Elephas maximus indicus: one gene and its partner. The protein of the gene in region 1 interacts with the protein of each later gene in a pairwise test. Links are inferred from orthologs where the notes say so. Each region holds a gene or a part of one and is shown in the gene's direction. Other genes may lie near its edges.

Region 1 (3,745 bases):
ATTAACTTTTCTACAGCACTGGAAGCCAAAAGATAGCCAAATAATACATCAATATGTAGAAGAGAAAATAATTTTCAACCTCAAATTTTATAAGCAATGAAAAAAAATTCTTCAAGAAATTTAAGATGAAGTGAAGACATATTCAGCAAAACTGAGAAAGTTTGACAAAAGCAAACCTTCACTGAAGGAAATTATGAAGAATGTACCTCAGGCAGAAGAAAAGAGTTTCCACAAGTCAGAGATTTAAAAAGGAATAGTGGGGCGGGGGATACGTAACAAAGAAAAAACTTCACTAACTCTAAAAACAATTGCAAGAATAAGAAAAAGAAACTGAAGAACCTAAACAGCTTACCTTAGAAAGTTCTAGAAAACACAAGATACACGAACACAGTCCTTTAGTCATCAGAGCGATGACGTCATCACACAACGGGTCACCTTTGGAAAATTCCGAGATTTAAAAAGTCAAATGACGTTACTATTATTATGAAAATAGTTCTGCCTTAGACCTTCTCCGACCGTCCAATGCCAGGTCTCCAGAATTTGGTTCACCGACGGGCCAAGGAGAAGGCAGCAAGGTCACAGGTTGGGGGACACAGGGGAAATTCCATTATTTGCAAAAATTACTGGGGCGCGCGGTTTCCGGGAATATTCCATGAGGCGCCGCAAGAGGGCGCCGCTAGAGAGCGCCGCTGCGCGAAGCCGCCGCGCCCCAGGCTACTCTCGGTCACCGCCCCCGCTCGCGCCTGCTCAGCTCACACGGGCTCGGAATTGAGAGCGAAGCCGGGGGAAAAGGGGTGGGGGCAGGGGGGAGGGCCGCGATCTCATTGGGCGAGATGCCTCCGCCTCACGGCCCGGGGCGGGGCTCCTTCGCACTAAAAAAGCGGCGCTGGCCGCAGCTTCTACGCGTAGCGTTAGTCTTCGCTCTGGTGAGGGTTTTTTGTCGCTTGCCGAAGTTCGCCGGGTCATGGTGCCAGCCTGACTGAGAAAAGGAAGCTCCCGGGAGACGAATGAGGAACCACCTCCTCCTGCTGTTCAAGTACAGGGGCTTGGTCCGCAAAGGGAAGAAAAGCAAAAGACGAAAATGGCTAAATTCGTGATCCGCCCAGCCACCGCCGCCGACTGCAGTGATATCCTGCGGCTGATCAAGGTAGCTGGCGGCTCGGGCGCCTCCTGGGCCAGGGTGGGGCGGCCTCTTTCCGGGGAGAGTGTGGGTCTCTGGGACTGGGTCGCTGCTGGAGAGCCGGGGCGGTTCCCCTGCCCCTGCCCCGCCCTCTCCTGCCGCCCTCCCCTCCCGAGCCTCATCCCCTTCCTCTGAGTTGTCGGTGGCCTCACTTTGTTTTCTGTTCTCTCTTTTTTCTTCTGCGTGCCTCGCCCCAGGAACTGGCTAAATATGAATACATGGAAGAGAAAGTAAGGTTAACTGAGAAAGGTAACGCAACAGTGGGGCAGGGGGGAGGGACAAGAGTCCGGTGCCTCTCACCCACCCCGAAGCCAACACTGTGTCCCTCCTTGCAGATCTGTTAGAAGATGGTTTCGGAGAGCACCCCTTTTACCACTGTCTGGTTGCAGAAGTGCCCAAGGAGCACTGGACTCCGGAAGGTAGCCACCCCTCCCCTTCCAGAAGCTGGTCAGAGAGACTGAGTGTTGTGTAAAACGTAGTGTCTGCTGTGTAGAACCACTAACTACCCAGGCCCAAGTTACTTAGTGAGAAGTTGGCCAGAAATAATAGCCAGCCAGTGTGGAAAACTACTGAGGAGGAAAAAACAAAAACAATACATGTGCCGCACTTAATGTTGTTGGGTGCCATCTAGTCGTTTCCGACTCGTGGAGACGTCATGTGACAGTAGAACTGCCCCTAGGGTTTTTTCGGCTGTAATCTTTACGGAAGCAGGAAAAGAACTGTTTAATTATCAGTGCTGTGAAGACCCAGAAAAGTTAGGTATAATGTCTTTTGTTGTAATTCAGTTTCATAAAATGGTTCTTGTTTGACCCTAACGTAACCTTTTTTGTAATTGTGTTAAATTGCATTTTTTTCTTTAATTTGTCCCAATCTTCAGGTTACAGTCTCTAGCTTCGCCATGTACATGGCCCTTCCGTGTACATGGATGGGCGGGGAGGTAACTAAAAGATCCTTTACACAATAAAGTAGATGATCATGATAAATGAGGTAAGGCCCTATTATCACACACTTAAAACACGGTAGATCAGAAACTTCATTATACTCGCTTCCTGTTTGTTTGCAAAGGAATATAAAATGGCTTGAAAGTTTAATTTAAAACCTTTGCCTCCCTTTGGAATTGTGGATACCTGTTAAGACAGAATCCGATGCTTGGTTTTTTTGTTTTAGTTTTCATATTTTTGCTGGTCCTTGTTGACTGGTCAGAAGATAAGAGCTAAAAGGGGAAGTTGTTTGGGTGGGAGATTTCTTAAGCTTTTTCTGAAGTTGGTTCCCCAAGCTAGAAGAAATGAGGTGCTTTTTAAGACTTATGGATGTTACATAATAGCTGTTCGTGGCTACTGCTGCTGCTTCTGGCTTTAAAACTGGGGAAAGCAAATTGGGATATGTGTGAATTGGAAGGCAAGTTCTGAAATTAAACGTTGCACCTTTAGCCTGATCTGACCTTAAGGAAGCAGAGTTTCCAGACAACACAATTAATATTCTGAACTGCCGTGTAAACCTGACTTATTCCCCAATCAGCATACCAGTATATCAGTAGGATGTGAATAATATGTGTGTTTACTTTAAAAACCATAGCAGTTTAGCTCTGGCAAGTAATTAAAGCATTCTTGCTTCCTGAGTGTGAGCTCCAGCAGATTGAAGAGAGGCCAGCCCACAGTTCTAGCCTGGCTTCAACTAGCTCTAATGTGTGCTTTTTGCAAATAAGTGTTCTGAAAACAGTGAGGTTGTCCAACAGTGGCCTGGGCTGCACTATCATAAAAGGAGACAGTCTTAATTTAGTGGCTACTTGTTTCTATAATATATGCATGTCTGTTTTTTTTAAAACCTGTGATAGGCTTCTGTTTTGCAGCTACAACTTTTGTGGATTTTTCTTCTCTAGAACTCATGTGATACTCTTATTACAGGACACAGCATTGTTGGTTTTGCCATGTACTATTTTACATATGACCCGTGGATTGGCAAGCTGTTGTATCTTGAGGACTTCTTTGTGATGAGCGATTATAGAGGTATGGCTGAGTACAGAGGAGTGGGTTTAAAGAGAAATATAGGGCGTTAAATCCTTAAAATGTTTTTAATTGTACTTCTCTTTTAGGCTTTGGCATAGGATCAGAAATTCTGAAGAATCTAAGCCAGGTATGTCTTAGTCTTTGGCTTCTTAATTTGTAAGGATTACTGGATTTATTTTAATGACTGAATCAAATTTAGGTCTGGGGAAAGCAGGTGAAATGTCACTGAGTTTTGTTTTCCTCCTCCCCCTTAACAATAGGTTGCTATGAAATGTCGCTGCAGCAGCATGCACTTCTTGGTGGCAGAATGGAACGAACCATCTATCAACTTCTACAAAAGAAGAGGTGCTTCTGATCTGTCCAGCGAAGAGGGATGGAGACTCTTCAAGATTGACAAGGAGTACTTGCTAAAAATGGCAGCAGAGGAGTGAGAAGCGCCAGTGCAGACAATGACAAGTTCCATTCTATTTAGGAAAAATTCTCAGCTTCTCTTGCTTTCTAACCTGTTTGTAGTGGAATAATAGAAAGAGCTCCCATTCCAAAGCTTTATTACCAGTGG
Region 2 (3,745 bases), on another chromosome or scaffold:
AAGTTAATCAATCATAATAAGTTATCCCCTTACGCTTGTCCAAGCCCAGTCTTTCTTCAAATCAAGAAAATGCCCTTTACGTGGTGAGATTTTAGAGACAACAGTGAAGTCTTAGGCCCAGGGAAAAGCAAGCAAGCAAACAAAAAGATACAGTTCTTATCTGACATCATATCATAAAGGTTTCATGCCTTTGTCTCAAGGCTTCGAGAGTTCTTTTTTAAAGCGAATATCTTTGGTATGAATAAAACCATAATTTCTTTACAGATATTTACAACGTCAGTGTGCCTGGGTTAATTAGTTGCTCTCCTGAGGGGTCTTGAGAGAAAGGTGTTGGAAGCCGAGGGGTGAAGACAGACTGGAGGAGAGGCTGGTAGAGGCGGTAAGGGTGAGGTAGAACCACTGGGTACGAACTCTCTCCTATCCTTGATTTATTCCCGGCCACACGCTCAGTGCCTGACGCATGGGGGCGCTCAAAAAATATTTCCTGAAAGATTCTGAAGCTGCTTCGCCCAAAACTGGCTGTGTGGCAAGGTTGGAACCTGAGAAGGCTAAGCTGGCATCCTCGCGCCCACGAGGGCAAATTTCCAAGTGGAAGCAACGTCTGGGAGCCGGGAAGACCTCAGCAGATCCCACGGCTGGCCGGAGGGGGCGAAGGTAACTGTTATAGATATAGGTCCGGAGCGGCCCGAGGGACAGGAGCAGCACAGACTGGGGTCAAGGGTCAGGCTGGGGACGAGCCCTCTGGCTCTGGGAACTCGGTATCCGCGGTGATGCGAAGGCCAAGATCGAGGTCCTACTCTAGGGGCAGCCGCGGGGGCGGCGTTGGGGACCGAGGGTGGGTGGTCATCGCGACCGGATCACTTTGCGCGCCGCTGAGTCTTCAGGGAGCGCTCCCCTGGGTCACTGTAAAAGCGGCACTTTTGCAGAATAAGCGCTTCCCGGAACTGTGCGCGCAACGGCGGGATTTAACTCCGCAGACTTCGTGAGGCACGCTCTCGGGTGCGAAGAGTGCCCTCTTCGGGGATGGTGCGCGCTCTCCCCGGCGGTGCGCGCTCCCCTCGACAGTGACACAGGTCATCTTGCGCGCCGTCAATTTTGGGGAGCGCCGGGTCCCGAATCAGGGGCGGTACCCGCAGTCTCGCTCGGCTCCGCGCCCTGCCCCGGCGGCTCCTCCCCCTGAAGCACGCGGGCTTTTACTTTCGCTTTCGCTACAGCGGCCCCTCAGACCCCCGCACCGGAGTGACCGACGGAGCGGCTAGCTCTGGCTGCCCGACGGCCTTGGGAATGGTAACTGCGGCCTCCCCTCCGCCTGCCCTCTCCCTCTCCCTCGCTCGTTTCATGCGTGGTTTCCGCCGTTGCGAGCGCAGTTTGGAGACAGCTAGGAGCGGGGTGGTGTGGTGGTAGGAGCGGGGAGGGCGGCCCGGACGACAGGCGTTGAAACTTTGGGGGAACGGTTTACCCCGCCCCTAGCCCCGCTTGCTTTGCTCAGCTTGTCCTCCCTTCCCTCCTTGCCAGGGGGCTTAGGACACCCCATACTATACGGATTTTGCTAGAATCCCGCCTCCCCGCTTCTGCCCCCCGGCCGCAAAATCTTTTGCGGTCGAGTCGATTGCGAATCATAGCGACCCTAGGTTTCCAAGGTGCGGCTGGTGGATTCGAACTGCCGGACCCTTTAGTTTGCAGCCGCGCTCTTAACCACTGCGCTGCTAGAAAGGAGGGGTGCGATGTCTGGCACCGCAGTTAACACCAAGGACTCCAGGTCAGAGAGGCCTGGTGGAACCAGTCCCCTCACTTCTGCTTGCCGGCTGTAGGACCTTGACCTTGTCTGTGCCTGCCTGTTAAATGGGAATGATGGGATCCCGGGCTGAGGGTGGCTGCAGGCATGGATGGAGGTGATGGTGCACAAAAGAGCCTCAGTCCAGGCTCAATACCTGTAAGCTAGTACCCTCATTGTCGGACTAGCCTTGCTGCAGGGGCTCATGGAGTGGTCTCGAGGAGGTGAAAAAGGCCTGTGGACTCCCAGGCTACAGGCGACCTTGCAACCCTTCACCAGTGTACCCAGCTTTGTGGTTTATGGGGCAGTAAAGTTGCTTGCAAGAGCCATGGTGGCACAGTGGTTAACCACGGGGCTGCTAATCAAAAGGTCAGCAGTGCAAATCCAACGCTCTTTGGAAACCTGTGGGGTAGTTCTCTTCTGGCCTATACGGTCTGTCAGAATCCACTTGATGGCAACGGGCTTCGGTTTCGGTTTTGTTTTCAAGTTGCTTGCGCATGACTGTGGATGAGTCATGCGCCACCCTTTTCTCGGAAACACTTGGACTGGGTGATGTTTACTTAAGGGCTATTTCCTCCTTTAGGATCTTCTAGGCAACCAGCCTGACCTTCGTCCTCAGTATCACAACCCAGGTTCCAACACCTGGATTCAGAACCCATCTTCTGCACCTCTTTACTGTGTGGTGTTGGGCAGGTTACTTAGCCTCTCTGAAGAAACCTAGGTTACCTCAGCAAAACAGAGGGCAAGGTTCAAGTCTCCTGGCAGTGTTGTGGGGAGCAGGTGATACAGTGGAGCACTTGAATGCCCAGGAGAGCTGCCCCCAGGTGCAGAGGTGACAGGTGAAGGTCACCAGGGCTGCTTCTCTTTGAGCCCTGTAGAAAGATTGCCTTTATTTGGTCAAGAAGTGCAGCACAAATTGCATCATGTTGCTTTTCAGGAGAAACAGCTGCAATGAGTCCATTTTCTCCCTCATGAAAAAAAAAAATCCAAGTTCAGACAATGCTGGGAAGTGATTTCTTACCCAGATATGTACCAGTTGCCCTAATATGGGGGCAGTAATTAAGTGTGTTTTGAAAGAGTCACTAGAGGAATTTTGTTTCTGTCTTCACAAAAGCTGTTTAAAGCATGGACGTGGTTTTAAAATACCAGTGCAAGTAGATGGTCCAATGTCTCCTTAGTCTTGAGTTCTGTGGACAGTGATGATAATAGGGCTACTTATTGAACATTCAGAACGTGTCACAGTGTTCACAGCCACCTGTGACTTAGGTGCCAGGGTTTGCCCATTTTCCGGATAAGGAGACTGAGACTCAGAGACGTTGAGTACTTTGAGGTTTCATGGCGGAGTGTGGAGGAGCTGATTTGACCCCAGATCAGCTGATTGCCGTGCCTGGACTCTCAACTGTCCTCCTGGGTCCCTTTGGTTCCGTTGTCTGTCCTGTGTCAGCAGTTTATTCTGGCACTAAAGGATTTAAAAATGCATTTCAGTTATAACATTCATAAAGAAATATTTCTTGAGTGCCTGCCGTGTGTGGGGCACTTTTCTGTGCCTGATTGTCATGGATTGAACTGTGTCCCCCAAAAATATCAATTTGACTAGGCCATGATTCCCAGTATTGTGTGATTGTCCACCATTTTGTCATCTGATGTGATTTTCCTATGTGGGGTAAATCCTATCCCTACAATGTTGATGAGATGGGATTAGCGGCAGTTATTTTAATGAGGCAGGACTCCATCTACGAGATTAGATTGTATCTTAAACCAGTCTCTTTTGAGATAGAATAGAGAGGAGCGAGCAGAGAGACATGGGGACTTCATACCACCAAGAAGCCAGAGCTAGGAGCAAAGTGCATTCTTTGGACCCGGCGCCCCTGTGCTGAGAAGCTCCTCGACCAGGGAAGATTGATGACAGGGACCTTCCTCCAGAGCCGACAGAGAAAGCCTGCCCCTGGAGGTGATGCCCTCAATTTGGCC

The links. The genes of interacting proteins can lie anywhere in the genome.
Region 2: the proteins of SAT1 (region 1) and CASP7 interact in binary tests that used the Homo sapiens proteins (3 or more experiments, as listed by UniProt). The two-hybrid records come from large-scale screens. The link is inferred for Elephas maximus indicus from reciprocal best matches to the Homo sapiens genes SAT1 and CASP7.

The regions. Positions count from the first base shown.
Region 1 is NC_064846.1:155,343,872-155,347,616, reverse strand, and holds the start of SAT1 (diamine acetyltransferase 1), read left to right. Parts: upstream 1-889; 5' UTR 890-1,081; coding exon 1,082-1,147; intron 1,148-1,377; coding exon 1,378-1,429; intron 1,430-1,515; coding exon 1,516-1,599; intron 1,600-3,084; coding exon 3,085-3,186; intron 3,187-3,272; coding exon 3,273-3,313; intron 3,314-3,446; coding exon 3,447-3,617; 3' UTR 3,618-3,745. UniProt on the Homo sapiens protein: Enzyme which catalyzes the acetylation of polyamines. Substrate specificity: norspermidine = spermidine >> spermine > N(1)-acetylspermine. This highly regulated enzyme allows a fine attenuation of the intracellular concentration of polyamines.
Region 2 is NC_064834.1:64,644,315-64,648,059, forward strand, and holds the start of CASP7 (caspase-7), read left to right. Parts: upstream 1-961; 5' UTR 962-1,284; coding exon 1,285-1,287; intron 1,288-3,745. UniProt on the Homo sapiens protein: Thiol protease involved in different programmed cell death processes, such as apoptosis, pyroptosis or granzyme-mediated programmed cell death, by proteolytically cleaving target proteins.